Linked DNA regions of Drosophila melanogaster. The protein of the gene in region 2 interacts with the protein of the main gene of each other region in a pairwise test. Each region holds a gene or a part of one and is shown on either strand. Other genes may lie near its edges. The genes, in order: CG11899 and Pez.

What was found.
Region 1: the proteins of Pez (region 2) and CG11899 interact in a two-hybrid assay, tested with the Drosophila melanogaster proteins (one large-scale study listed by BioGRID).

What each region holds. Positions count from the first base shown.
Region 1 is NT_033777.3:29,194,496-29,208,205, forward strand, and holds CG11899 (uncharacterized protein), read left to right. Parts: upstream 1-5,958; 5' UTR 5,959-6,025; coding exon 6,026-6,070; intron 6,071-6,155; coding exon 6,156-6,832; intron 6,833-6,888; coding exon 6,889-7,261; 3' UTR 7,262-7,275; downstream 7,276-13,710. Other genes in the region: CG14515 (uncharacterized protein), read left to right, coding at 3,139-3,572, 4,590-4,662; Mesh1 (metazoan SpoT homolog-1), read right to left, coding at 7,297-7,413, 7,475-7,819, 7,887-7,964; Cyt-c1L (cytochrome c1-like), read right to left, coding at 8,206-9,240. UniProt on the Drosophila melanogaster protein: Catalyzes the reversible conversion of 3-phosphohydroxypyruvate to phosphoserine and of 3-hydroxy-2-oxo-4-phosphonooxybutanoate to phosphohydroxythreonine.
Region 2 is NT_033779.5:6,327,060-6,345,197, forward strand, and holds Pez (Pez), read right to left. Parts: upstream 11,613-18,138; 5' UTR 11,589-11,612; intron 11,435-11,588; 5' UTR 11,084-11,434; coding exon 10,999-11,083; intron 10,213-10,998; coding exon 8,256-10,212; intron 8,195-8,255; coding exon 7,327-8,194; intron 7,266-7,326; coding exon 7,047-7,265; intron 6,980-7,046; coding exon 6,803-6,979; intron 6,749-6,802; coding exon 6,425-6,748; intron 6,363-6,424; coding exon 6,234-6,362; 3' UTR 5,822-6,233; downstream 1-5,821. Other genes in the region: PDZ-GEF (PDZ domain-containing guanine nucleotide exchange factor), read left to right, coding at 1-2,428, 2,489-2,638, 3,064-3,584; Cpr (cytochrome P450 reductase), read left to right, coding at 15,115-15,290, 15,668-16,010, 17,100-17,224, 17,285-17,886, 17,972-18,138.

The DNA.
Region 1 (13,710 bases), on a different chromosome or scaffold from region 2:
AGGGCATTGATTTTTTTGATTTGCTTTCAGTTCGGTTCGCCATTCCCCCCTTTTCGTTTATTACTTTGATTGCTTTTCACTGTTTTCTTCGTTTTATTTTTTTGTTTTTCTTTTTTTTTTGGTTTGAGGGCATGGATACGCTGCAGTTTGTGATTTTCTTTGCCCTGCTCAAGAAGAAAAATATTTGCTTGCCATTTATGTATATTCTGTTTTCATCTCGTTTTTTTTGTTGTTGTTTGTGTTTGGCACTTTTGGGCATTCGTTTTTTATTCTTGTTGCACGCTGTTCGGTTCATCACCACATTCACACACTTACACACTCATTCACTGACTCACACACACACACACACTCACGCGCGTAAGAAATATACTACTAAAATACAAATTGCTCACAATTTCCTTTGCTCTAGATAGTTGTTGTTGCTGCTGCTGCTGCTGCCTCGCACTGTTTGCTTTCCCACTGGATTTTCTCGGAAAACTCGACGACCACGCGCTTCGACGTCTGACCACGTTCTGAGCCGAATTTCCCACAGCCTTGGTGGAAAATGCGAATGTGGCGTTGGTGAAAAGTCTGCGAGGAAAAGTCACCATCAGGCGGCAGCCGCTTTTCCTCTCACAGGACCTGCGCATTTCCCGCCTGCAGGTGACACACTTTTCCGCGCCAACCGTCGCCGATGAAGTGGATTTTTCGACCCCTCCTCGGGCCACCGCTCCATCCCCCCCTCTGAGCCCACAAGCTCCACTATTTACATGGCACATCGGTTTAAGGCGGCTGGCAGTTTTCCTTCGTTTGCCCACTTTTTTCGTACTTTAGGTTGAAGTAAATTTCGCATGCATTGGCCGGAGGATGGATGCACTGAAAGAAACACATTACCAGCTTGCATATTATATATATATTATATATAGATATTAATTGATAAAATATTTAGCTTACTTATATTTTTAAACTCTATGATAATGGCATGACTTGATGCGTTAAAGTTTTGTAAATAGTGTATTTTATATATAAAAAAAATCAAAAATATCAAACAAATATGAATAGATTAATTCATAATAAAATGAAATTCTATAATATTTTTAGTATATTTTTCTCTGTGTAGCGTAACAAGACCTGGTGTGATGTGGCGCAAATGTCATTTTCAATGGCCGAAAATTTCGGTATGCTGCTGCCCAGTGCAGGGAGTTGAAAATTCGCATTCGCCGCATCCATAATGGATGATATGTCCTTTCGGCCCGCTGATCCTTCGGTTAAAGCAAAGCCACCGGGTTAACTGACCTTTGCAGTGCGGCCAACTTGAAATGCAAATAAGCGCCAATGTCCAATTGTAAAGTTCAGCAATCTAGAGTATTATTTATCACGTTTCAGCACAAACACATTGCCAAAAGCAAACAATTTAGTTTTGTGCGCAAAAGTTGCTGACGCTGGCACGTGCAATTTGAATAATTAACCGAACATTTTAATTAATGAAACAAGTTTGGTATTGACTTGGCCCAAAGTGTGAGTGCGTGTAGATACACACACTAGCACTTAAAAGTGTGTTTTGGCCCGAAGTGTTGTTGGTCATTTGCGCATTTATTAAATTAGAATTTGTGTGCCATTCGGTATGCTGTTTGCAGTGCTTGTGAATAACAAAAAAAAAAAAAAAAGATAATTAAAGTGAGCAGAAATAATTGGGCACTTTATTTATATTTTTTATTTAGTTACCATTCTAGCTATAAAATATGCTGCGAAAATAGGAATTATAAAACACATAGCTGTGTTGTGTGCCATTTGTTATAGTTTAATTGATAATTATTTCGCATAATTATTTCTCTTAATGAGTATAAACACTATTTTAAAACATTCCGAACAATTTATAAATGAAAATTTAAGCAAATGCTTAAAGTTAAAGAACTGACTTAATTATTCCATTTGTATTCCAACTGACAGCAGCTGTTGCAATTATCCCCCTTGCCAAAAACTAAAGTGAAAATGAGGTGGTGGAAAACCATATTCCACGAAGGAATGGCGTTGGCGGATCCCAGAAAGGAAACCGCCGACTGAAGCTGTGAAATGCGAAACGCAGCGGTATCAAAGGGGGAAAAGCGAACTGCCAGAAAAAAATCACAACTGAGAAATCAGAAAAAGGAAAAACCCAACCGGAGCCAACTCAATTCAGCGAAATCAACGCCAACGGCGGCTGCCTGTCAATTAAAACATTAAAACGCGCTGAAAAATGCAGCGAACAGGCGCAAAGTAAACAAACTGCGGAACATGTTGCAGTGCGGACAGCATTTTCCAACATTTTCCAACATTTTCAGCGATTAGAAGCATAGAATTTCGCAATGGAGCACTTAGAGCAGCACCAGAGTTTCGGGCCCAGACCACCAAACCGAGCAAAGAAATCCGATTCGTCGACCAGGGGAGGGACTAATGTGTGACCCAGTTTGGATCACTGTGCAGGAAAGGAACTCTGTGTGTTTTGGCCATTTGCTTTTTGATCATTAAAAACTGGTTGGCCGCCGCCAGCTGAGCGCCCCACTACATTTGCGGTCAGCTTAATAGCACCGCTGCGGCCATAAATTAGTCAAAGAAAATCTATTGGGATGGCAGCTGGCATCTGTCAATGATTTATTCTTGACACATCATTCCGTGTTAGTTCTTTTAAGAATTAAAAACCAAATAAAATAATAGTAATGATTTACGGTTGGGTCTTAGTGCAATTGTTTAGTAAATAAAGTTATCAAAGGCTATTAATTACTATTTATCATAACAGTTGATCAACAGCAAAGAGTTCTGGAAGAAAAGCGTGGAATATTCGTTTATATTTTTGCATATTTTTGAATATTTTTTTAAACAGTACAAATAACTTTTTAGAAAAAGTTTTATCGTAGTCAAGAAAAAGATGATTTAGCGCACTGACTTCTCCAATAGCTGGCTTTCTTGGATAGCTAAACGCTCCTATTCAAACACCCCCGACTGTGGCTATCTGTCCACTTGAACCGCCCGCCCATGTCTTCGGCGGCAGCGTCGCTTGTGGCATTGCCGCTTGGGTTTATAAGCGGCCGGCGATGGCGGCGGCGAGCCGAGTTTCAGCGTCAGATTAGCCGAGAGCGCGCGCGTTTTTTCCCACGATCAGGAAAATCGAATTCCAGAGCCATGAAGGATCGATTCAAGTGGTTGTCGCTGGAGCTGCTCCTGCTGATAGGCGCCGCAGTCGCCTTTCCGGACGGCGCTCCGGCGGACACGTGCGTGAAGCAGCGGGCGAATCAGCCGAATCATGGCAAGGCCCGGAGTCAGCCGGCTCACTCGAATCCGTACGAGGTGGTGGCCGATGCGCAGACCTACCATCCCGGCCAGCAGATATCGGTGGTCATCTACCCGCACTCGGACCAGAGCACCGTCTTCCGGGGATTCTTCCTGCAGGCGCGTGATGCCAACTCGAACGAGTGGATCGGCGAGTGGGTGCAGAGCGAGAACACCAAGACCATTCCAGAGTGCTCGGCCATTACGCACTCGGACAACCGGGACAAGCTGGGCGCCAAGCTCATCTGGAAGGCACCGCAAAATAAGCGGGGACAAGTCTACTTCACGTAAGTTGGAAGTTATAGGAGGAGTGGGTTAATTATATAGCTCAAGCCAATGGAATTATTAGAAAGATCTAGAATCTATAATCGAACTAACTTTCAGTGTTAAGTAGTGCTCTTACAGTCACAGCAAACAACTTAAATGCATGCAGAAGTTTCACTACCAACTTAATAAAATAAATGACCGCTTAGCACCCATTTTTTCGGACAGTTTCAATGAAGCACTTTGTCAAAACTGGCTTCGTACAACGCAGTTCGTGTCTTCTATGGCCCATCACCCTCATAATAATCATCATTATCATCGGAGGCGACGGTGGAAGTAGCATAAGCCGTGGCAACATCATTGTGCCTCGTGAAGGGATTCATTAATCATACGCCACGTTGACCCACATAATGTAATGCGCGCATAATTGTCAGGCGGACAAAAACTTGCCGGATAATCGCACAAAAGGCATTATGTAATTGATTTATTTGGAAAGAGCACACCCCTCATCAATGGTCCACAAAAAAAGGCATCAAACGGCAAAGACGCCGCACAGTGACAAGCTCAAAAAAGCCAAAGAAAAGCTGTCAATGCTTTTTATGCAACTTTGTCAACTTTGTCGGCAGATAACACTGGCCAACATAGACAAGTGCCAACTGTGAATTAACCACACAAAACTTATTTTCCGGACACTTGTCTCATTTGTCATTCTACCAAAACCAAAATATGCAAATATGGGTATTAATCACAAACAGACAAGCAAAGTTTATGGACACATCTTGCACAAGATCTGAAATCAATCATCATAGTACACTAAGGGAATTAATGCACAGAATTATAAGCTATAAAATGTATTATTTTCTCCATAACCATTTGATTTGAAAGTACTGTAGTCCAGTGTCGTCTCACCTTAAAAATCATCTGCTAATATTGCCTAATCATTGTCTACTAACTATTTATAGACTTCCTTGCGAATAAATTAGAAAAAATCATGACTTGCGAGCAACCATAAGAATTAACATTTTCACTTTTCGCTGCAGGGGCACTGTGCTACAGGAGTACGGAACGTTTTGGAGCGACATTGTGAACAAAGTGCAGGCGGAGCGGCCATAACTGAAATTATGTACTTACTTTTAAGGCAGCCGGGCAATAAATCTTAAAAACCCTAATTAGTCAAAACGAAATTGTTGTTTGAGGATTTTTTTTCGACTGCCATTCACCATTCCGACGTCTTGGACGTCGGACGCCAAAGGCGCCCCATTGAGCTGTGCAATCAACATTACAGGGCAAAATTATTGGCTTTTTGGCTCAGCGCTTATGAATGACCAGCCCACATCCCAGCGCCCAACGAGGCGAACCAGTTCCCGTCGCCCACCACAGACAGCACCTTGCCACCCACATCCGCCCACATCCTCCCACCCACTCCACTCCAAGTCCGAAATGGAACGCACGAGCCGAGCACGTTTGGGTTTCCAGACACGTTGGCCAGCTTCTCATAGGAAATTCGTTTTGGGCGCCCCGGCAAATTGGAAACTCTAAGCACCTTTCAGGCTGGCTGTGCTATAAAGTAATTAGACGGCCAACGAATTTGACCAAGACATAGGCCAAGATAAGTATTCGTAGCATAGGTCTAAAGCACTTCTGATTGATTGCCCTTACAACAATAGGAAGCGGATAAGGATAAGGAATCGGTTTGCAGATATGACCAGGCGTGCAAAAGAGTTCGCGGAATTGCTAATCGGCAGACGGTTTGTTTTGCTTGAAATTTACTACCAATTATGGTAGCCAACTTACTTAAGCCTTAGTTAAATATATAATGCCTAATATTGGTTATACTCTACAGATAATTCAATAAAAAGCTATGAAATCATAAACTCACTGTCGCATGCATCGAAGCTCCACTGTACATTGCACTTACACATTTCGCTTGCAGCTTGTTTACTCGCCTGCGAACTCAGTCGCTCGCTTGTTATTGTCATTCCAGCGAAAAGTGCATGGCAACCCACGCTGGCTTGGGGGCGGGGCACACACACGATGAAGTGGGGGGGTTACTGGGAAGCACTTTGTTTTCGTGCGTTGCACATATGTACATATGTATGTATGTACGTACATATGTAATTATATACGTTAGCCGACTTGTTTTGATCGAATTCGCCGTACCGCCGCCTGCCTTTGTCTGGCTTTATGGACTCCACAGGAGCGCAGCCCAAAATGGGGGGCTTGGAGTCGAACACCCTCCCGGTGGAGAATCCGTCCCTGGAGCAACCGAGTTCGTTGTCCAGTCGGGCGAATTTGAGTCTGGTTTTCCGCACGCGTTTTGTTTACTGTCCGGTGACTTGTTGCTGTTCTCTGTGCCCGCCTTCGTCTCGTTTATCAGCGATTGCGAATACTCGCACGGACTGCTCAACACTTTAGTCAATATTTAGCCGCTTCCCGGAGAGGTTCATAGATCGCAGACGCACTACATAGTATCAGCATGGTTATCAACTTCGCCGCCGGTCCAGCCAAGTTGCCCGAAGAGGTCGGTGAAATGGGTGGCACCACTCCACACACGTGACGTGTAATAGTAACCTTGATTACATGGTTATCTCTATCTGCATATATAGGTACTGAAAGAGGTGCAGGAAAATCTTGTCAACTGCAATGGCAGCGGCATCTCGGTCATGGAGATGTCCCATCGCTCCAGCAACTATGCCAAGATCCATGATGCGACCATCAGCGATCTTCGCGAACTCCTCAATGTGCCCAGTAACTACAAGATTCTGCTGATGCAGGGCGGTGGCACCGGACAGTTCGCTGCAGTGGCTCTGAACTTGATTGGCAAGACTGGCACTGCTGATTATGTAATCACCGGCTCCTGGTCGGCCAAGGCGGCCAAGGAGGCGGCTCAGTACGGCACTGTGAACGCGGTGCTGCCCAAGTTGGCAAAGTATACAACTGTTCCACGACAGGAGACCTGGAAGCTGGACCCAAATGCCTCATATGTCTACTACTGCGACAATGAGACCGTAGAGGGCGTGGAGTTCGACTTTGTGCCCGAGGTTCCAGCCGGTGTGCCACTGGTGGCCGATATGTCCTCCAATTTTCTGTCGCGTCCCTTCGATGTCTCCAAGTTTGGCGTTATCTATGCGGGAGCCCAGAAGAATATCGGACCAGCGGGCACCACGGTGATCATTGTCAGGGACGATTTGATAGGCAAGCACTTGAAGATTACGCCCTCCATCCTCAACTTTGAGCAGATGGACAAGAACAACTCCCTGTTAAATACTCCGCCGACCTTTGGGTGAGCCCAGAATGATACATGGCTGGTGAATTCTTTGTTAAACTTTCCCCTTGCAGCATCTATGTGATGGGCCTGGTTTTCAAGTGGATCAAGCGGAACGGAGGAGTCGCTGGTATGGCCAAGCTGGCGGCAGCCAAGTCCAAGTTGATTTACGACACGATCAACCAGTCGAATGGTTTCTACTACTGCCCAGTGGATGTCAATGTGCGTTCGCGCATGAATGTGCCCTTCCGTATTGGCAGTGCCAGTGGAGATGATGCCCTGGAGAAGGAGTTCCTGAGCAAAGCCGAGGCCGAGGGCATGATTCAGTTGAAGGGTCATCGGTCGGTGGGCGGCATTCGAGCCTCCCTCTACAATGCTGTAACGCTGGCGGAGACCCAACAGTTGGCCAATCTGATGCTGGCCTTTTACAAGAACAATAAAAATTGAACAGGTTCATCTGTAATTTGTTGGTTTTTGATCGTTTACAAAAGGCCGCGTTGGCGGAAGATCTCGTCCAGCTTGAGCTCCAGGTTGGCGTTGGTTCCTCGCAGATTGTCCACCACCTTTTTGGCCCAAACGAAGTACTGATCACGACGCTCCTGGAATGAAAATATGTGATCCATAAGGTTCCGTTTTTCAAACCAAGATGGGCCCAAATACCTGTGTCCACCCTGTCGGTGTGTTGACTTGCAGATCCCTTAGGTTATCCAATTTGTCAGCCAGCTTTATGAGCTTTGCTCTGCAGCTGCTTTTGGCTGCATTTTCTATTTGCAGGCGTTTTCTCTCCTGTTTCTCCAGGGACTTGTCGTCCGTCACCTCCCTCACTAGTCCACAAACATCCGGTCCAAAGAGTTTCTCAACATCCTCGAAAGATGCGTCCGTATCCTCCACGACATCGTGCAGAAGTGCAGCCATTAGGACTCCCTCATCTGTGATGCAGGCCTCCACGGAGAGAATAGTGCTCACATTGATCACATGGTTCACATAGGGGGTTTCCTGAGGATCCTTGAAATGTAAAAAAGATAGTATTCATGTTTTAAATATATCATTTGTTGCGTTTTAATAAGCTTACCTTGCGACGTTGCTGCCGGTGCTTAAAAGCTGCATATTGGAGGCACTCCATGAATTTGGCAGATGGATATGTGGCCATTGTTGTAAGAAATAATTAAATGAACGGGCCTTTAGTTCAAATTTAAAGTCTAAACCTTATTTTTTGCATTTATTTACATTTTTAACATAACAGCTGACTTAACAGACCGGCAAGAATCTATAACAGAGCAATTGTTGGTGCTTTACAGCGCGGATGGTTAGGCCCTGGAAAACCTATCGATAAATAAAAAGCGCGGCATTCATTTAAATTCAAAAACCTTTATTTAAACAGTTCACCAAACTTAGTCCTTCTTCTCGTTCTGGTTCTCGCACTTGTTGCACTCCTGCTCCTTGGCCTTGCGCGCTGCTTTGGCGGCCTCCTCCGCCTCTCTTTTGGCCTGGGCCTCCAGTTCGGGAATGAAGAAGATCTTGCGAGACTTGAGCGTTGACCACTTAAAACGCTTGATGTAGTAGGAAATGCCAATCAAAAAGGTCGAAATCAGAGTAACTTTGATGAGCAGCAGGCGACGTTCGTCGGTCTCCGGTTCTGAAGTCCACTTGAGGAAGACGCACACATCCTTGGCAATTTGGGCGGCCGAAGCAGGCACATTTGGATCTTCAAAGGAGACCACCTCATTGTCAACTACCTTGCCCATGGCAATCGCTCCGCCCGAGAAGTACGGATTGAAGTACAGTCCATCACGAAGGGCAAAACCAGCCGGAGGATCACAGTATCCGGTGAGCAGGGAGAACACGTAATCCTCGCCGCCCTTGCGAGCCGACACAATATAGCTGAGATCCGGCGGATAGGAGCCATTGTTGGCGGAACGGGCCGCCTCCTCGTTGGCGTACGGAGAGGGGAAGTGATCGGACAGCTTGCCGGGACGCTCGTAGTACTCGCCCTCCTCGTTGGGCCCATCCCGCACCGTGATGGCCTCCGCCTCGGCCTTGGCCTCCGCCTCCGTCATGCACACTCCCACCAGGTTGCGATAGGCCATGTACTGCAATGAGTGGCAGGAGGAGCAGACCTCCTTGTAAACGGTGTAACCTCGACGCACGCTCTCCTTGTCCAAGGCGGACAAAAGCCCTTTGTGATTCCAGTGCTGGTGGGCCGGATGCACGCAGTCCGAGGAGGCATCCACGCTGGTTTCCAGGGCGTAGATCAGCAGCCCTGCTGTTCCGGTTAGGGCTCCCAGGGCTCCCAGCAGCTTGCGATTTCCAGTAAAGCCGCTTCCACGACCCGGAAAACTTATCCGCGGACGCACCGATGTCCGCTGGATGCCGCTCATGGCCAGCTGGAAAAGTTTGCTGTTCAGACTCCTGAATTTGTTGGCCATTTTCGGTCGGATTCAGCTTTATCTCTCAAAACGATTTATTTACAATGTCAACGCAACCAGTGTTGGAAAGCTCTGTCGACTGGGGTTGTCACCACTTGGGGAAATATGTTCTGTCGAAATGAAATCACGTGTGTTGCGGTAAGTTAATATTTTAATTATTATATATTAATTTAAATATAACACCATCACATGCAAAATTACGGATCAAGTGAATGGCTTAAATGCAGTAATAACAATATACATTATCAATTGAAAGATTAACACTTAGGAATCTATCTTTACTGTACTCACCTATGGCAAAATATTAGACTTCCTCCTTTGATGGCAAAAAATCGTCATTGCGAAGAAAATATGTAATTGTTTGGAAATATTGAAATGTGTAAAAGTATAAGCTTTTTCACAACAATTTTTTAATGACATTTCACACAAAGCCGGCAAGAGCAACCTTTACCTACTAATTAAGATACATATCGATCGAAATGCACTTAAAAGCTCTGCTAAACTATTTGGAAAACATCTAAGCCCCTCTCCCTTGTGTAAGCAGTATTAAAAAAGTTAGTTTCTGGAACTACAGAGAAGGCAGGATGCTTAGAAATCCCAGCACAGACTTTCTTCCACATCAAGCCCAGCTTAGCCAGATTCTTATCGGTGATCTTTCTCCATAAAGCATATGTAAACCAAAACCCACCCAAAGTGCTGTTATTCTTCACAGCTAAAAGGTTGAATCAACGTTTTTCTCTATTGTTGTAACGATCGCCTCCTTCTGGGTTTCTTTCCTGTCCAACCAGCGGAGCAACTTAAAAATACAAAAAAAAAAGCAAATGCCAGGGCACTTTCATTTGTTATCTGGCTCAGTAATCTGTAAATCGGTAACAGCCCACCAAACAACGGTGCATACAATATTTCCTAGCCATTCTTCACACTGTGTGACCACGAAATCGTCAAAGTCAGGCCCAAGCCAGCTTTTACAACAGCCAAGGAGTAGGGGCGTCGGCTTACCGCAATTTTAGGGGGGCTCAGAATGTGGGCAAGGTAGTAATGAAGCAACCAATAATTGTCATAAAGCTGCTTTACTACCCTTCAAATTAATCAGAACCCACTAAACTCCATTACAATGCTTGGATTGTAAGCTTAGAGGTGATAGTTCCATAAAGGGGAACCCCCTTTTCGACGCCTATGGCAACCAATAATGACAATGCACTGTCGACGTCGACAGAGCGATGTAAACTCTATTTTTTTTTTTTTGTTTTTGGTGAAAATTTGTACCTGATTTTATATTTCCCTTTTTTGTTACACTCTTTTTGTAGCTGTTGGTCTGGTTTTCTTGTTTTTTTTTTTTTCAGTTATTACGTATTTCCATGTTTACCATATTTTACACGCGCTTACAGGCACACAGATACAGATACTTCCACGGATACAGATGCAGATACATTTACCCCCGGATTTTCCCTATGTGCGTTTTTAGAGTTCTGCTTCTGCGCAGCGATGCATAATTCCCACTTTTGAAATTTGTGTGCGGTTGTTGTTGTTGTTGTTGTTTTCCTCTGCGGTGGTGGCTAAATGTTGTTGTTGTTGTTGTTCCCGTTGCCGCTGCGCAATTAATAATTCTTTTCGACTGGCGTGAAATTTTCATAAGCAAGAAAAAGCAGCAGCAACCGCACCAACTTTCCATGAAAATCTCCGGCCATTAGTAGCAATCGCAACGCTTTTCACCGTGGAAAACCGCAGAGATTGTGCTGCGACCCCATAGAAATGGGCTCACGTCATGAATTTTATTCAAATTACAAACTCATTAATAAATGGCGTTGTTTACATTTAAGTAGAAAACAAAGCGGGCATGATTGTCCAATTTCTAGATGATTATATACTATGGTTAGGAAAATCTATCACGGAATATATGATATAAAGAAATGCAGTGGTATTGTGATTAATTGGAATCTGCATATTTCTCCACTTAACAGCGAAGGATGTGTTGCAATCCTTTTTTCCCAAATTGCTCGTATTTATCAAAGGAGTAACTGCACTGAAGTGGTCTAAAATATGCAATTGACTTCGGGGTAAACACAAAGACCGGACTATGTCCAAATCAGATATAAAATGCAAGAGATATGACTTATCAACTGAATAATTATTCGTGAAAAAGATGGGCCTGCAAATAAAAATACCCGAGTACGGCACAAAAAAGTGTGCATAATTTAGCAATAAATGTAAATATTACTGGTCAGCTTCCTTTGGGAGCCAAAGCGCCATGCTGCTGCAGTTTCCTGTCCTCCTCTCCAGAGCAAGATGATGATTCCGTCATCATTATCATTTGCAACATCATCATCAGCAGCACCACCGTCATCATACGCCAGAGGAACGTAATAACGATGAGGCTGTGTGCTGGCCATGTCCCACTCCTTATCTTGGCAGCACGAAAACCAGAAACAAGAATTATAGACCAAAAGCCAGTTGCAATGCGAGCGCATCTTGCATCTTTGCCACCGATCCCCAGTACGTAGGTGTGTGTGTGTTAGTGCCAGTGCGAGTGCGGGGGCACTGCATCGGTGGGTATCTGTGTGAGCAGCGCCTTTGGCCACAAGTGAATGCATCCCAGCACCAAGTTGCATCTGCTGCACTCGCAGTGCTGGACAACGCTAGAAGAAAATCAAAGCAGCTCTTTTGAGATACAAAGCGGAAACCATTAATTTGGCCAGTTTACTTCATTTGGTTACGTCCACACAAAAGAAAGAATCGCTATTAGCAATTACACCTTTAGGCATGCTTATAAATATATGATTTCCAATTGATTTGTATTTATAAACTGCATTGCTTAAACTGAACTACAAAGCATCTCTCTCTCTTTAATAAAAACCAGCTTTCATTTAATATTCAACACAGAAGGCATACCCAAACTTTTTGCTCATAATAAACATCTTTCTTTTATGACGTATCTGAAAGATCGTTTTAACGCGTGCGCAGCTACCGTTGAAGGCGCTGGAAAATCGCATGCGAGAAATGAACTTTCAGTTCGCTCTCTTTGGCGCTCTCTTTCGATTTCGTATCTTTCGGATTCTCGTTCTCGCTGCTCATTTATCGCTCAATTTCGCAAAGACAACAACAGCAAAATCGCTATGCTCCCCTATATACAACGACATCACGATTTACGCGCATGTATGGGTGCAATGTATCTGTGTGTGCGTCAATTGCGAGTGTGAGTGTGTGTGTGTGTTTATGTGTAGCATGCGGTTTTGCTTTGGATTTTTGTAAACTTCTTCGCAGTCTTCGGTCGCCAAGAGAAAAGACCAAGCTTCGGGAGAAAGATACAGATACGTAGCTGGAGGACACAAGAAGGGGGTGGGGGATGGGGGGCAAGAGAAGATGCAGAGGAGAACGAACTTCATTATGAGGTTGTAACTGTCTTTTCAATTTCTCGTTCTGCCCGATTCGCTTTGCCAAATGGAGCCTAGAAGATGGATCTGCGCCTCCTCTCGATTCTCCTCTTGATTCTTCTGCCCCTTCTTCCTCATTCTGCTGGCCCCCCTCCCTAAGCACACACACACACACACACACACGCAAACCCATACAATCAGCAGTGCCCGTTGATGTTGATGAGTTTTGTTTTAATTCTGCGTCTTGACTTCAATTTCTTATAAAGATTGTTTATATGCACGTAATACAGTGCAGCCTCCCTAAAAGGAACTTATTTATATTATATTTTAATAATTTAAGAAAACAGGATTTAAGCCTTTAAGATCTAATAGCCCCGTTCAAATGTATCTAAGCATTTGCATCTGAATGCGCATCTGTGAAGTGCATGTCCCACTGTGGTTGTTGCTGTGATTTGGTGAATCGCGCGTAGCCGATTGTAATTATTGTAATCGAGTCTCGAACCGATCGATCCGATACGATACGATCGCAATAGCGCACAGCCATTGCCATCGCGATCGCCGCTTGGGGTTGGCAAGATCATCGTCTTCGGCTGATTTGATTCTGTTTTAGCTGCTCTGATCATTTCGTAATAGTTTTCTCAATGCGCTGCTCTGCTTAAATCATCATCGTGGCCAAGACGCAGCCGATCTTGGCCATCCCACTGATCGCACCAATCCCAATCTCCCAGTCCAATGCCAGTGCTCGTGATCGTTTCGCTTGAGCCGAGCCCGCGCTTTTCTCTTTGAAGCCAACGTCATCGACAGTCGCAGTCATACCACACACAACACACCGCACAACACACACCACACACTCCATAGTACCAGTCATCATGCCTGTTGCTATTGCTATTGCTATAGTTGTCTTGGCCGTTGCTTTTTACTAAAAGTTGATTGACTGTCTGTTCATTTAGCCGCTTGTCCATGGCTCGCTCCGTTTGTTGGCTTTGTGTGCTCTTTGGGTTACACTGAGAACAAATCTGTATTTAAAATATAAATGAAATAGTATAGATTAACATCTTTATGAGCCATCAAACATAATCGATTTGAGCAACATTACGGC
Region 2 (18,138 bases):
AAGTTGCACGGTCGCTCTGATAGCACCACCGACGAATTGTCCAGCGTCAGCGCCTCGAATCGGGCGCACATGGTGCGCCTTAGTTCCGTCGATATGCTACTTGACCAGCCGGACTGCGCTCCACCGCAAACGCCGCCAGTGAGTGGGAGCGGTAACATGGCCTCCAATTTTATGCAGCAACTCTTGCAAAGCGTTAACAATAGTTCGGCCAAGAAGTCCGGTGGGAATTCAAACTCGGATCAGCAAGATACGAAGGGCGGTTTTATGACTCTGGCGCCAAAGCGTCGGTTGCAGAAAGCGCTGGCAAAGATGAATTTGCTCAATAAGCAAAATCACGGCAGCAGCCTAAACGACTCCTCGGATACGCTGCTCAACGATCCCAAGTCAAAACTTTCTGCAGTTAGCTCGTGCAGCAGTTCCACTCAGTCGTCTATCAATGGATGCACGGTCAGTGGGGGTGGCCGGCTCTACCAGTCGCAATCGAATCCGGATTTAACCAGTCTCAACTATGACGGAGGCAGCGATGCGGGTGGAAACGGTGGTGGAAGATTGCAAGTGAACTACCTGAACGCCCACATTCACCGGCCATCAGCGGCCAGTACTTTGACAACAAACTCGACGCAATCGCACCTCTTGCCCGATTACCCGGACCACGTGCTCAAGGTGTACAAGGCAGACCAGACGTGCAAGTATGTACTCATCTACAAGGAGACGACAGCCCACGAGGTCGTAATGCTGACGCTGCAGGAGTTTGGAATACACGACCCCAGCTCGAATTTCTCGCTATGCGAAGTGAGTGTTGGCGACGGGGGTATGGTAAAGCAGCGCCGGTTGCCCGATCAGCTGCAGAACCTGGCCGAGCGAATAAGCTTTGCGGCGCGTTACTACCTCAAGTTAAACGATAGCACCGAACCGCTGGTTCCAGACGAACTGGCCCTGGAACTGGTACGCGAGTCGAACGTGCACTTCCTGCACCTGAATGCATACGAGCTGGCCATTCAGCTCACTCTACAGGACTTTGCGAACTTTCGCCAGATTGAGTCCACCGAGTACGTGGACGAATTGTTCGAGTTGCGCTCACGCTACGGAGTGCCAATGCTGAGCAAGTTTGCCGAACTGGTCAATCGTGAAATGTTTTGGGTTGTGAGTGAGATTTGCGCAGAGCACAACATTGTGCGCCGCATGAAGATCGTCAAGCAGTTCATCAAAATTGCGCGCCACTGCAAGGAGTGCCGTAACTTTAACTCCATGTTTGCAATCGTCTCGGGGCTTGGACACGGAGCTGTTTCGCGACTGCGTCAAACGTGGGAGAAGCTGCCCTCCAAATATCAGCGACTGTTCAACGACCTGCAGGATCTGATGGATCCCTCGCGCAACATGAGCAAGTATCGGCAACTAGTGTCCGCCGAACTACTGGCCCAGCACCCCATCATCCCGTTCTATCCGATCGTCAAGAAGGATCTCACCTTTATTCACCTGGGCAATGATACGAGAGTTGATGGCCTAATCAACTTTGAGAAGCTGCGAATGCTGGCCAAGGAGGTACGCCTGCTCACGCACATGTGCAGTTCGCCATACGATCTGCTGTCGATCCTTGAGCTCAAGGGGCAGTCGCCATCCAACGCTCTCTTCTCGCTCAATCAGATGTCTGCATCGCAGAGCAACGCTGCCGCTGGCACAGTTATCGCCGCCAATGCCGGCCAGGCGACTATCAAGCGGCGCAAGAAGTCGACGGCGGCGCCCAATCCCAAGAAGATGTTTGAGGAGGCGCAGATGGTGCGGCGGGTGAAAGCATATCTCAACAGCCTCAAAATACTCAGTGACGAGGACCTTTTGCACAAATTCTCGCTGGAATGCGAGCCCGCGCACGGGTCCACGTACTCGGGCAGCATCTCGCACGGAAATACCTCACACCGAAGCGGTGGTGGAGGCAGCATCAGTGGCGGTGCTGGTGGCAGCTCCGGTGGTGGTGGCGGGGGCAGTTCCAGCCTCAATGCCGGCGACCAACTGAGCATCTATTCGCATACCAGCTCCAGCTCGGCGCCGAACTCCTCACTATCGCTTCGCAAGAGGCACCCAAGTTCACCCACCCTTTCGACTACCAGCTCAACGAGTTCTACCAGCGATCATCAAAGAAGACAGATGCATAACAACGGCCCAAAGTTTGGCACAGCCTCGCCACAAGCAGTTAAAAAGATGCTATCGCTGTCAGAGTCCTCCAAGATTCGGCCGCACCAGCCATTCGTGCCGCGTCACGGATCCACAATGGCCGGAGTGATTCCACCACTGCATCACATGCATGCGGCACATGGTTTCAGCACACCGTCGCCTGGAGGAGTGGTCACCTCACCGGCAACCAGTGCAGTGGCCAATGTTCAGTGTACGCCAAGTCCTAGTCCCTGCTCCCACCGACGACTGGCTTCTGGAGGTAATGGAATTATTATCACTGCCTCATTGTATATCACTAACTTAATTGGGTCCATTGCAGGCAACATTATTCCCTCTCGCGCAATACACGAGCGGTCGCACTCGGACACACCAGCTCCGCCGCCGCCTCTACCCTCGGTCGATCTCTCCCTAGAGAGCAGTAGTGTAACTACATTTCGCGATTTACCATTGCGCAAATCCGTGACTTCCGGTAAGTGCCTCGTGCCCTAAGATCGTAGTTGTATATCGACTAAAAATACGTTATTAGCTGCTACTAAAACCCGATGCTAAGTATGCTCATATAGTGCGTTTCTTAATTTCGGAATTCTTCAGAAATGTTTTTCGAGTATGCTTAGCAATCGAATCCCGATAAATAAATCGTAGTCGCCAGTTATTTATACCTTGTTAGTTGCGCTTTAGACTCCGTTCCCTGCTTGCATTTGAAACGTATAGTTTTTGGTGGTTGGGTTGGAATTGTTTGGTTGTCGGCTACACAAACGCAAACATACATATAACACGAAAACACAACACACACACTTGCACCACGTGGTACCATGAAATGAATCCCAAATGGAGGTCACCATTTCACGGACGCCATCTCAGACATATTCTTTACCCTAATTTCACACCCAACAGGTTCCATATCGTCCTGCGACAGCGGCTACGTGCATCAGCAGCAGCATTACCACTTGCAGTACCAGCAGCAGCAACAACAGAACAGCTCGCAACACGAGCCATCCCCGCCGGTCTATACCGCAGCCGACTGCCGGCTGCTTCAGCAGATATCGAACAACGCGGTGACCCGCAACTTGAACAGTCCCTGTCAAAGCACAAACACACCACCCAGCACACCTACACCTCCACCGAACCAGCCCACAGCAACCATTCAGCTTTCTGCACCGCCGACGGCAGCAGCATACATGCACGCACGCAGCCAGCATCAGCAGCTCCAGCAGCAGCAGCAATCTTTGGCCATGCCACCACCGCCGCCACCGCCGTACAATGTGCCCCCCCTGGGCAGTATCTACAGCCACCACCAGGGCACTGCTGGCAGCAGGCACCTGAACCACATGCATGGTAAGACGACCGGACCGCAAGAGAGATGGTTTCCAGATTGCCGTCCAACGACAAAACAACAAATGCAAAGCGGGAGTTGAGTCGGGTCTTTCTGAAATAGGCGTTACACCGGGTTGTTCGACTTGTTTTTCTAGCTACGTTTTGATCTACGTTTTGTAAGCTTGACTTATGTACCCCACCTTAATTATATCAATTTCTCCTTCACAGGTGGCCCGCCAAATTTTATGGATAGCACCAAGTGTACCATATGTCCCATGCCACCCATGAATCAATAATGAATCAAATTGTGCTGTTTTAACCGCTATATGTTTATTTAATTAGTTGTAAGTATGTCGATTTTATGTTATATCTTAAGAACCATAAGCTCACAAGATAAGCTCCGACTTTCAGTTTCCAAGAACAACTTGAGTACTTATGGTTCTGAAACGTTATTATTACTTTTAGGTCATCAATTCTAACAATTTGATCTTTTCATTTCAGCAGATAGAGTTGCCAAAATTTGTGAATGGTTGTGGTTTCAATTTCGCCAGCAATCAGAAACAACGTATCCCCGATCACCTTTACCCTTTACGGAGCTGCAAAAATATTACTAGCATCCATTTGTATTGCGTATTTACATTTAGTAACTGAGAATTTAATTTTAGTTAGGGCTTACCATTTATTATTTAATTTAGCTAAATTCTTTGTACACACTTTCTACCCATCATTCACCGCCAGCGTAGAAGTTGCCTTTTCTCTTAAAAGAAAACGTCTGCAGGCAGACCCTCTCAGCAGACCCAACTAAAACTCTTTTGAAGACTTTTCGTCGGCATTTACAAGTGTAAGAACAGAACAAAATAATTTTAAAGCCCAGCACAACAACGAGACGATCAATTGATATAGAAACGCAAACGGAATCAACTCGAAGCCACCATTAATTCCATTAATCTATACTTCTTTAATACTTATGTACAAGCTAATTTTATTACAAGCATACTCCTTTAAACGCTATATATACATATATATTACGAAAAACCTTCGCTCCAATTCCAAATATTTAGTTGTTAAGCCCAAAAGAGAGATAGACAAAACATTTTTTCGAATATATTTTTGACCATTCGTTCCGAAGAATTCAAAGGAAGAGTGGCAGACAAATGCAATATTTGTGTATAGAATTATACAACTCCTAGCAATACCTAGACTAGCCCACAAAAAAAGGAAATCATCAAAGTACAACTTCCACGAAAGACAGAAATAAGTTATGAAAGACAAACCTGAGACATATAAAAAACCATATATAATCATTTTTGATCGTATTTTTCTCACACGTAAGGAACTCCAATATGAATATTTGTGTGTGCATGAATGCCTGTTATATACATAGATATATACAATATATATATATACAACCTACATATACAAGCTATATACAAGAAATCTCTATATATATACAAACCATGAGTGGAGACCCGTTTCTCGCTTCATTTTCAAAGAGAAAATCAAACTATGTTTTGCTGAATTCGAGAAAACAAAAACAAATCAAATCAAACGATATTGGATATGCTATATATGTATACATTGTGCTCTTTGTACTTTTAAGTTAGACTAAATACCAAATTTGCTTTTTAAGGCTTAAGAAAAACATTAGATCGAAGCCTAAATTGTACTCTGTATAAATAAAAATCGCGTATTTTGCTTAATGATTTTCTGTATTTATATATCTGTATGTTGTGCAGCTAAATGATTAGATTTTTAGGAATCTTTGAAAAACGACGAGAGACTTTTTTCAATGTCATGTTGAGCGTTTATTTTTGCAACTTGTCTGCAAAGGTGCACAAAAATAAAATTATTTAATAATGAATATTACCTTGAAAAAGTGATCTTTTAATTGTATCTTTGATTTTCAAAGATCCTGGGGACGTCTTCTTATAAATGTTCAATATTCTAGTGGGGAATGAAAAAAGTGGGCAGTTTAAAAAGATTTTTAAACTTTTCATCAAATTGAGAAGACGTCTAAAAAATGAATGTCTGGCTTTTATTACCGAAAAACAAAATTTGTCCTAAATCTGAAGACTATAAATTCATAATATGTCTTCCTTTTTGCCACGTATTGTATGAAAATGTCTTCAGATCGCCAAACTAACATGAAGTACATTTAATTCATATTTTAAGACCTATGTGACAATTATACATGTATTAACTATGTTTCGGACCATCAAACCAAATTAACAAAAATAAAATTAATTTTTTTCAAACCTTTTCTTTGGGGAAGCGCGCTGGGAATAATTTTTTAAGAAAAAACACGTTGCACGTCGCATAAGAGTTAAATGTGCTTATTGCTTTTTATCAATTTGTTATTGTTTTTATTTCGAAATTTATTAAAATACACATGTATAAATAGTTCGGCTTTAAACCTAAGCCCAATTGTTGTGGCTGTGGTTAGTTAACTGGCATTTTTACTGGCTTGCCAAAACAACTACCTATCCGCTACTTTTATATTTATGTATGTATCTATAAAGTGGCCATTGTGGGGGGTTCTGTTTTTATAACAAATCTAGAGCTTAAAAACTAGTTGGTATTAAAATTTAACGATTATAGGGACAACAGCTGCCAGTAGAAATATAAAATTGCTGAACGGAGTTGTACTGATTTTTTAAAACGAGAACTAAAGGAAATTTGTTCGATATAAACAATTTAAGCTTAAACAAAGAAAAATACTTCTTGCCAAGTTTTCCATATTCTTTAGAACCTCAGATGAGCCTCGTGCGCTTCAAATAGGTAATAAGCAGATTGTATATGAACTTGTATTGCGCCAGGGATGGTATAATGCTATCCCGTTGATGCCTTAGCTGCCCGATAACTCGAGGTATATCCAGGTCCTGCGATCGTAAGAAAATAATGCTTATGGAAATGGAATAATAAATTCCCTTTCTCCACTCACCTCATTGTGGTCCAACGTGTACAGTAAAAGATCGGCGGTCAGTGTCACTCCCGAACGACCGCCTCCCTCCAGACAGTGAAGAAGAACTGGTGGGTTTGTGTTATGTCCCGGCGGAACTTCTTGCGTAGATGCCAATCGCACGGAATTCAGCTCCTCGAGGAAATCGAGGAAGTGATTCACATCGCGTGGACAATTCTGCTCCGCCCAGTCAGCGTACTGCAAATACCAAACGGATCGGTATCGACGCGATGGTACGTGGTAAAGGCGCAGCTTGATGGTGGTGCATCGATCGGTGGTTTGTGAGAATTCCTGATACACTTGGAACTAGAAAGTAGAACCTTTGAGGAACAGAACTAAAAGCTTATGCGGTTCACTTACCTGTCCAAACTCGAGACGCTGATGACTGTTACGAGGAATATAGCTCATATCCTCGGTTAGCTGGACCACCAAATACACATCCGCCTCCCATACACACTGCCAGAAGATGCGCATGGTAAGCGGTTCTTGTGGCGACTGGGCCACAATATAGAACCGCTGCTTTGTGCCCACAGTGGCCTGAAAAAGATGTTCCAACAATGAAATACACAATTTGCTTTTCATCTTGAGTGTCAACTGAACGTACAGATATGGAGGAAGCATTAACGTAACCATGCCGATTGTCTCGGCATGGAGTCAGTCGCACTCTGTTGTCGTCATAGGGTAAAAAGTTGGGGTCGTGGTTCTTTGGCTCGTTCTCCTCCAGCAGGGCGCATTCGTATAGGGCATGCTCCCGTCGTTTCGGTATGCGTTCGAACTCCATGAATAGCTGCGAGTCACTTAGCTTTTGGTCTAGGATTTGGCACTGGAAGTTGACAAGCGCTTTAATCGAAATGGATTCCAAATCGTAATAACTTTTAACCTACCAGTTTGTCCTTGGAATATCGTCCAGAAATGGGCTGCGGCTTGTTGACGCCTGTGGACCAACGATTTGGCAGGTTGAGATCGTCTTGGGCTAGCTTTAGCTTTGCCGCCAGCTTGGAGTGCTGACCTGCCGTTGTGGCCTTTTCCCTGCCCAGTGTGGCGGATTTCTGTTTGTCGGGTGTTTTGCTGCGTGACAAAAAGTTCCATCGCTTCTTGCGTTTTAAGTCTTTGCTGGCCGCCGATGAGGACGTGGTGTCCAGCGTTGAGTTGAACATGGAGGATGTGGAAGCTGATGTGTTGGCAGAAAGATTCATGGCACTGAACTGCTGTTGCAGCGTGTCTCCGGCCGGCGTGATCATGTCGACCGTCGACGACTTGTTTAGGCTTGCTGTTGAGCGATGTTGTCGTGGCGGAGGTGTGGCTCCCATATCTGGCGCTGCACTGGCGGCTCGATTGGTCCGCTTAGGAGCCTGCGGTTCCAGGAACAGCAGCTCCGTGCTTGCTGCTCGGTCTGCGCCGTACTTCTTTATGTTTCCATCGTCGGGTGGAGAATTGACAGTTACAGTAACTACGTTGTTGGAGCTGGCGTTTCGAGCAGCTGGAACAGGGACAACGCCTGGGGCGGACTGTATGGAGGAAGCTCTTTGACGCATAGCCTCAGTATTTGCGGCACCACTGCTGCCACCAGAGGCTCTCTGTGGCAGGGGTACATTCTCGTAGATGGGCTCGATGGAACCGTTCACCAAGCTCCTCTGTAGTGGCGCCGGTGTCGCCGATTTATGGGACGAAGCAACCACCGGCGGTGGAAGCGGGCTGCTCGCTGGCGGGGGCACAGAACTACGATATCCACTCGGCGGCAGGGTAGGTGAACTGCAAGATCGTAGCGAAAAGTATTGTTATATTGTTTATTTTACGACTTCATTACACTTACCTCTGCGTTACCACAGATCCGGCAGCTGCAGCTGCTGCCTGACTCATCGCTGACTGTCGCAGCTGGGACATTATAGACGGCTGCTCCTCGATCATGTTGAGGTTCTCGAAGGTGCCGTGCGGGGGCAGATAGGGCTGCGAGTGCCCCATGTGGCTCACGTACTGGTACTGGTGCAACATGGTGGCTCCGGAAGATGTTGGAATATTTCCGGCATGTCCGCCTGCGGGCAGAGCAACGTACTGACCGCCATTGAAGAGCGTGCGGTTAGAGACTAGATCCGGCGAGGAGCCGCTTACGTAGTTGCGGAAACCCTGAAGGGGACGGGGAGTGGCCACGGCCAGATCGGGCGTGGAGGAGGAACTCAGCCGATTGACATACGGCGGTGGGGCCTTGTGACGCATCATATGCATGCGCTGCGAGAGCTCTAGGTATGCCTGGGCGGGGCTCATGGGCTGTGGATGTGACTGCGGTTGATGCTGTGCCTGGTACAGGTTGATGTGGTGGTGTAGGGCAGCCGCCGGCTGGGCCACGTCCGGATAACGATGCGCAGTCATATGACCATACAGTAAGTTCTCGTTGTGCATGCCTGGATTGTGTACATCAGGCTGGGAGCCCGCATAGTAGGCATTTCCGGGCGCGGCCATTGCCAGTGCCACATTGTGGAATTCCGCCGATGGTGTGCGGTACTTTAGTTGGACCGCCGTCTCATAGTCTGGTGCCGGGCGGTATGTGGGCAGCATGGCTTTGAGGCGCTCCCGCTCATCGTTGTTATTGTTGTTGTTGCTGCCTCCGTGGTGCAACATGCCACTGCTGCTGTGCAGGTTGTTGTTGCTCAAATCCAGGCAGGAGCTGCTTTGTCCCAACATCTGGTTAGCGCTGGTAGCCAGCGAAATGTTGGAGGAAATCATCTGCTGCTGCTGAATCTGTTGCTGCTGCTGCATATGTTGCTGCTGCTGATGATGCTGTTGCAGTTGCTCGGCGGCCGCCGCTTCATTGTAATCGTAGTCGACATAACCAACGCTGTCAACGCCCAACGGACCACTCTCCGCATCCGCACCACTTCCCAGGCTCGAGGGCGTGGCCGTGTCAATATAGCGCTTGAAAAACTTATGCTGGCTAATGGTGAGCTTCCAGAAGTAACGTGCCGTGTCCGCCTCGCTGAATATAAAGCTTCCCACGATGCTGCCGCCACCATCCAGCTTGTTCTGCTCGATCTTAATCGTTCGCTTGTCGATGGTCACCGTGTGGAACTCCTTCCATGGAAAATACTGCCGACCGTTGTCCGCGTTCACCACCATCCCGTTGATGGCCAGGCCCAGCAACAAATCATTGCCGAGCGTGTCCTTGGCGGCGAAACGTTCCTCCCCATACCCCTCCAGCTGCTGGCAGCACTGTATGTACATCTCCTCCGCCTGGCTCTGACTCAGATGTGCAATGCCCGCCTGCTGCTGCAGGACCTCCACGATCAGTCCCTCCAGCATGCTGTCATCGTTGGCCAGGCCTTGCATGTTGCGCGGCAGGACCAGCGACTTCTTCAGATAGTCCTTGCTCTGTTTGTCGCCCTGGTAGCTATCGTACTCCGCCTGGCGGCAGTAGAGCGCCAGCAGTATGGCCGTGCGGATGTCACAGGCGATGCGGCCCTCGTAGATGTCGCTCTTCAGCTGCAGAAAGTAGTAAAAGCGCGTGGCTTCGTCGCTCAAGTGGCGCACGCCAGTGGTCACGTAGTGGCGAACGCGCAAGTAGATCTTGGGGCCCGCCGCATACTTCTCCAGCTGCCGACTGAGCGAGCGCTCCAGGTCGATCCATTTGAACTCGTCCTCCTTGTCCTTGCCCTTGACCAGGTAGCGCAGTCCAAAGAACTCCGGCTGCTGGATTAGCAAACGTTGGCAAACGTTGTCCAGGCACTCCTGTCCCTTGCTCTCCGAGCTGATCGTGCAGTCCACTGTGCTGGATGTGTCTGCAATGTAGGTAAGAGTGAAAACGTGCTTCAAACATCGGCCTAAGTCGCTCCAAGCACTCTAAATTCGCCGCACAACAACAATTTGGCCCTGCCCGTCGCACGCGCAAATATGCAAATAAAGTTTATAATCTCTTTCGAGACCTTATACGTTTTATGGACGGAAATTGTGGCGGCGCCGCTCAATTGGCTTCTCTCATCTGTCGTATTTCCTAACTAACGAAACGTAGGCCTAATGTCTAAAACCTTTCTGATGGTTGGAGAAATTTGGGTGGTTTTAATTGAGTCAAGGTCTTCAGTTCGCTTGCCAAATAAGTACATTCGGTTAAGTGTATAAGAACTACAAAACATGCTTTTGTTTAGCCCAAAATCGAGAGTAAATAATATACAAAATGTGAAGTACGCAAAGTTAGGAAGTTCTCATAGGCAGTCTGTTAGTTTTAGAATTAACGGTCGCTGTTATGTGTCCTGTGCGCCTCTGTTAACTCAGCGACTGTTAACTAGAATGCAACAAGTGAAGGCATTTTTGTGGTCTGTGCCTTGGAAGGCGAATTCCAGCTAAACTGGAAGTGGGCGCCGCATGACAATCGTTGTGCACATTCCCAATTAAATAATCCCAATTGCAATGGCAGACGGCAGCTGTTAAGTTGTGGCTTTGTCACCGATTTCTTGTTGTTTCTATTGTCTCGTCTCCACTGTTGCTATTGCTGTTGTTGTTGTTGTCGTTGCTGTCGCTGTTGTTGTTGTGGGGGGCGTAGCGCCTCTAGGAATGTGGGGCTTACTCACCCAGCAGGTGATGCACTGATATAACAAACAAACTCTTGGACGTAACATTGTACTGGCGACACTTTTTCAAGAATTTCAATGGCATTTTTCGACTATTTTGCTCCACCGGGGCTCCGCTGGGCTCACAAAAGTGGCTAAAACGGCAGCACCATCGACACCACAGGTTTTTTTTGGGGGAGTAAATTGCTCAATTGGAATTAGCCGATTTGAATCAGCTGATTAGACACGCAAACCAGAGCACTGCGCGTATTGGTTAAGTAAAGTTAAAGATAGTAATTGGGCAGTTAACGACAATAAATAAAGGAATTCACGAGAAATAAAACGAAGAGACCGAAGTGCTGATATCGATACGCAGGTGCTGACTGAGTATCTCGGTGGCTGGCATCGAATGGATCGATAGGCGGCATTGACTATCGGTATGTCTTTGCGCAGTGGGCTGCAAGAAAATAGGTTTAGTTCTGTTAAAGAAAACAAGTGCAACCAAGAAATATGTAACTGAAACAAAACAGTTTATATTTTAAAATATATAACAATGCAGTCAGCAGTGATTAAATAAAATTCCTAAAGATATTAAAACCACTGATACACACGAATACTTCGTTGTACACAGCAAGAGAATAACGGTTTCTAGCGAACAGTAAAATATCAAACTTAACAGAGCTACTGGACACATAGGTGGCGTGCTGGCATAGCTCTGTTATCCGTTCCAACTCCAGTGCTGGAAAGTGCGCGCAACTGAGAAATCCACACCGCGATTCGACGACGGTCCCTCTGGAATTCAGTAATTTAGTACTGCTGCTGCCGTGGTAGTCGTCACTTCCCCTTTGCACTTGCCGCCCTCCGTCAACGTTTTATCGAATAAAGCGAATTAAAATTAAGATCGTGGCTTCGCCCCGCTGCGTAACTGAATAAAGCGAATTTAAATCAAGGGCTTTGACGTCTGCCAAGCTGCTGAGAGGGGCTGCAACAGGAAGAGCACCAGAGACGGGGCACAAATCCACATCCACATCCACCGATCGTCGTCTATCTACAGAGGATTAGGAGCAGCGCAGTCGGAGATCGCGATCGGTGAGTTTCGAGGAGCCGAATCACAAGGCCACGCACTGTCGAAATCCAAAAAGCAAAACCCGATTACCAAAATCGAAATCCAGTCCATAATTAATTTGCTGCTTAGATATTTCGAGCGCTGCATTGGCGGTCAAGGTTGCAGCGACGAGGACAGATGATGGAGCAACCGTATCGCTCACTCGCTCGCTCACACACACACACACACACAGAAGAGCCCTGCGAGCGAGTTTAAAGTTCAGTACCTGTTGCTGCGCTCGCCCAGTCTCCCTCTCCCTCTCGCTCTCGCACAGCCTCGCCGCCGCCCGTGCGATAGTGCGCTCTCGCTCACTCCGTCCGCGCTGCGTGTAATTTAATTTAATTCACTTCTGTTATTAATTTGCGCTATTTGCACGCTGTATCGCCGCCTTTCACGTCTCAAACCGAGTCGTAGGCCGAATTGCATAACCAAAAACGCGACTCGGGTCGCCAATCGGCCATCAAGTTACTTTTCTGCTCGTGGCTCTCCGCTGAGAACAGCTGTCGACTGTCTGCTTCCCGTACAGTAAGCACTCGATATGAGCGACGAAGCTATGTTCTTAATTTCCGTTAACCTGCCTTTCCTTATTCAAAAAATCAACATTTGAAAATCCTAAGTACACCAACTTTACACATTTTCCAATTGGAGTTGGCGTTGCATTTAGTTTCCAATTTATTAAAAACAATTTGTGAAAAAAGCCAACCGATATATTGTTTTATGCTAATTAAACACACACACATTAATGACGATGTAAACAAAATCCTAGTATCAAAATTTACTACAACGAAATTGAAAGTGGCTTAGTTCGAAAAGCCGAAGTGTGTATACTCTTGCTGCCTTGTATAACTGAACTCTGTAAAATCGTTCCATTTTGAAAGAACTAAGAACTTAGTAGGAGATACTGCAAGTCTAGGTATGTACGTACATACATATTTACATATATATAAATCAGTTAAAATATAAAAATTGTACATTGTTGTACACTTCCTAAGAACTTTTATGGATAAAAATTAGTTCTCTGAAATTCAAGTTCAAAGACAAACTAAATAAATATATTATATTATATGTTATGACACCCCATTATAGGGTTACCTACCTATTAAAGCTAGACTATTAGTTCTTCCAATTAAAGAACCATTAAAAGGGCAGGTTCCGTAATGGGATTACATTTAATGGACTTCGGTTAAAGTGAGCGCGGAGTTACATTTCATCCTTTCCAGACAGCCAAACTAGGTTTATGATAACGAAAGCCACTTGGGCGCGAAATAAATATGCATAGTCATGCTTACTTTATAATTCTCCGTCGATTCGGACGAGTAATTCGAGAGTGTCATCGTGTTTAGGGAATTTTAAAATCACATATGCCAAGCGAGATTCTAAGCGTTATCACGCACATTACAAGTGTGTAGGGTGATACTAGATGGGCGTTTGTTGTGACTAGATCGTAAACTTTGTTTGAATAGATGGCTAAGCAGAAATAACCAAGATCATTCATCTCATTCATTTAGATTAACTACTTAGTCGTAAACTAGAAAAAGAAGCACTCAAATAAAGAGTGTTTTTGGAGGAAACATATACACATTTGAACGAGTTAGGATCTATTGTTTCGTAAAAAAAACTAAAGAAACCGAATTTATGTTAACATTTTTGGAACATTTGTTGGTTTTCGTGATATATATGTGTGCTTCCTAACACAATTTAATCATTGCGCTGTCGTCATTCCGTCAATCGAACAGCACACATGGGTGACCTATAAAAAGACGCCAATTTTATGTTCACCTCCACTTGTTGTCAGTGTTGGTTGTTATCGGGAGCGTCGAACACATACCTTCCTCGAAATCGGACGAGAATGACGATACTGGCGTCGATTTGCATATGCCTCGCATGTGTTTAATATTTATTTTCTGCCTTTTGCTGACCACAGCAACAAGAACTATTACGCGACTCTATACAAAGTTCACGCACGTAGCGGCGCATTAGCAACATTAAAGCATTAAGTCAAACCCGAATTCAAGGTGAAAATTCAGTAGAGCTCCTTAAGCCCCCACAAAACAAAAGATAACACCTGGGATCAGCTCAAACTTCCAACTGCTTAAGTTGAGAGTTCTAGTAAAAATGCTTTCGGCACTAGTTAAAACTCAAAGCAGTCGGGGCGAATTTCATTGAACTCCAAGTGTGCATTTCAAAACCCAAACTCTAGCTTAAGTAAACCCTCTCAATTTGCATTTCCTATGCTTTTTTTTATAAATTCGGGTAAAGAAACGTATACAAACCGTATATGTACATTAAAATCTTTAAGTACTTCATAAACTGAATCCTAATGAAAGGGAATGTATTTTGTTTGGGATGATTTTAATCCGATTTCACATTGACAAGTACCAAAGCCTTTGCTTAGTGCAATTGGCGATTTCCTGGAACAACGGCTGGTAAAGGTGTTAATCGAGTGATTGGAAATCAAATTTCGTTATTTTGCGCCGCTCAAAGAGTATTTGCTTGGGAACAGCGCATTTCGAACGCTTTTACTCGTTTTCATCATATCTCTCGACCGGCGACGGCATTCGATAAGCGCGTGCATAAAACCTGTTGCTCCCGGCGGTCAGTGAGCAGTGCTCCCTAACGCGAAACACACGTTGCGTCGCCACAGAGGCGGATCCAATCGAATTCATAGCTTTAATTGCACCAGTGCAGCACTGCAAGTGATCGACGGAGTAGTCGTAGTTGTCAGTGCAACGGGAACGTCCCAAGGTACGATCGATTAAAACCAGATGCGCGATTTCAATGTCAACCGGCGGCGCTGGCGGAACATCCAGCTAGAGCGGTACCTTGCACCGCTAAGACAAGTGCGGAAGCGGACGGACTACCGTTAGACGCACAGGCGATGCTACGCCGCCAGCGCTGGTATACGTGGAATACATTAGAGTGCGTGTCCAAAGTGCGCGACATGCAAATGGAGCTAGACCAATGTTATGCAAAGCGAAAACTAAAGCGCCGTGAATTCTGTGCCCTTTTTTTGCAGTCATACACGTACCACCATGGCCAGCGAGCAAACGATTGATGGAGCAGCCGCAATTCCCAGCGGCGGCGGCGACGAACCCTTCCTGGGACTGCTGGACGTGGCCCTATTGGCGGTGCTAATCGGCGGCGCAGCCTTCTACTTCCTGCGTAGCCGCAAGAAGGAGGAGGAGCCAACCAGGAGCTATTCCATACAGTAAGTATAGTTAAATTTGAGCAATCTAAAGCAATCTAATCCGAAGTCCAAAACCATGGCAATTCTTGAATTGAATAGTCAGTTTCTTGATAAACCTTTCAAAAAACATGCATATCACGCGTACAATTCAATATTTAAAACTGCTTCTTGAATGAAATGCCCTCTAGATCTATTCGGTTCATTCCGTCACAGATCCATATGTTCCGCCGATTTGTTGGAATCGATCGGCCATTATTTGACGCTGAATGATTCACACATCGCAAATGAATGTGTGAATACCATTGTGTGATTCATTCGTTGATCTGAGTGTTTACCTGCGTGTTAAGATAAGATTCAAATTTGGCTGAGATTTTAACGCATATCTTTACCTTCTTCAGACCCACCACAGTGTGCACCACCAGTGCGTCGGACAATTCGTTCATCAAGAAGCTCAAGGCATCCGGACGCAGTCTGGTCGTCTTCTATGGCTCACAGACCGGAACCGGCGAGGAGTTCGCCGGCCGTCTGGCCAAGGAGGGCATTCGTTACCGTCTGAAGGGCATGGTTGCCGATCCCGAGGAATGCGACATGGAGGAGCTGCTGCAGCTGAAGGACATCGACAACTCGCTGGCGGTCTTTTGCCTGGCCACCTACGGCGAGGGAGATCCCACTGACAACGCCATGGAGTTCTACGAGTGGATCACCAGCGGCGATGTCGATCTGAGCGGGCTAAATTATGCGGTGAGTACGAGCGATATCACACGGAACGGTCTTATCTGCATGCATACTGATTACACGAGTCCCCCTCGCCAAACACGGAGTCCGTTCCTCTTATCAAAACATTGTGCCACTGATAAGTGATTTTTATTCCACGCCCAATCGCAATTTTGGCTATCTCCCCGTATTTTTGCGCTTTGAGTTGTTTGTTGTGTTTTAATACAGCTGATGTAAGCGGAACGAAAACATTTGAAATGGCATTGGCGGATCCTAATTAACAGATAGGCTGTAACCTGATAGTGTAGCGCGCACGGAAGAGTTTGTTTTTGATAATAAACCTACTATTATTACTCCCCATCTCCCAAATGCCAGCAGTTCAGCGTAGACAAATTGATAGAAATCTAATCGTTTCTTGGTAGCCTTGGAGGTGTCATACACCTTAGTTTCGTTGACTTTTAAACAACGTTAAATATAGCATATTTTATTGTTGCCGACAGTCCAACTGGTAGTAAACCAAAAAGGAGTTCTATATTATCAACCTTATCAGTTGCCCAATTCGAATTCCCCGCCAAACTAGCAGCTCAAAAATGCGTCGTTCAGGTTCGCGCGCCGTAGCAGTCGGCTTTTGACTGGCAGCAGTCGCACGGAATTTTTAGTTGCTTCTTGAAAAACAATGTGCTCAATGTCGATCTCTGTTCTTGCGCAATTTGTTTACAATTGCCGTGGAAATTCTGCGGTTCAATCCAGCAAATGTCGGCCGGAAAATGCAGAGCTCGATCGCCACATCTGCCCACCTGTTCGTCAGGTTCCGCCAGCAAAAGCTGTTGAATTTGCTCAGCATTTTGAATAGTTTACGTAACAGAACAGCTGTCGCGAAAAGAAAAATTGAATGGAAGGTAGTATGAAGTTCAGTTCTACAATCAATCATAGTTCAAACTATTAAACTGATAAGTGATAACACTCAAACTTATTATGAGTCTCATTAAAAAAGATGGCTTAGTTGTTCATTCGTGCTCTGAAATTCGCGTTCCTAAGATGCATCATGTATTTTAAGTAGTTAAGTTAACTGAATTCCATTCTATAGTTACTAAATCCACTCTTATCTGATTCCAGGTCTTTGGCTTGGGCAACAAGACCTATGAGCACTACAACAAGGTGGCCATCTATGTGGACAAGCGACTGGAGGAGCTGGGCGCCAACCGGGTCTTTGAACTGGGACTGGGCGACGATGATGCCAAGTAAGTGATGAAGGTGTAGCCAACAATGTGAACCATACTCAAGTGATACTTCCCCAAAAGCATCGAGGATGACTTCATCACGTGGAAGGATCGCTTCTGGCCCGCCGTGTGCGATCACTTCGGCATCGAGGGCGGCGGCGAGGAAGTGCTCATCCGCCAGTACCGTTTGCTAGAACAGCCAGATGTGCAGCCTGACCGCATTTACACGGGAGAGATCGCCCGCCTGCACTCGATTCAGAACCAGCGCCCGCCCTTCGACGCCAAGAACCCATTCCTGGCCCCCATCAAGGTGAACCGCGAGCTGCACAAGGGCGGTGGCCGCTCCTGCATGCACATTGAGCTGAGCATCGAGGGTTCCAAGATGCGCTACGATGCCGGAGATCATGTGGCCATGTTCCCTGTTAACGACAAGAGTCTGGTGGAGAAGCTCGGCCAGCTGTGCAACGCCGATCTGGATACTGTGTTCTCGCTGATCAACACCGATACGGACAGCAGCAAGAAGCACCCATTCCCTTGCCCCACTACGTACCGCACCGCTCTGACCCACTACCTGGAAATTACGGCCATACCCCGCACACACATCCTCAAGGAGCTCGCTGAGTATTGTACTGACGAGAAGGAGAAGGAGTTGCTGCGCAGCATGGCCTCCATCAGTCCCGAAGGTAAGAAATTATTCACAAGACTTATTACTGCTGTACCAGTAACAGGAACTCCCACGAACATATACTAATGAATGTTGCATTGCAGGAAAGGAGAAATACCAGAGCTGGATCCAAGACGCCTGTCGCAACATCGTCCACATTCTGGAGGACATCAAATCCTGTCGCCCACCCATCGATCACGTTTGCGAGCTGCTGCCCCGCTTGCAGCCTCGTTACTACTCCATCTCGTCGTCTGCTAAGCTGCACCCCACT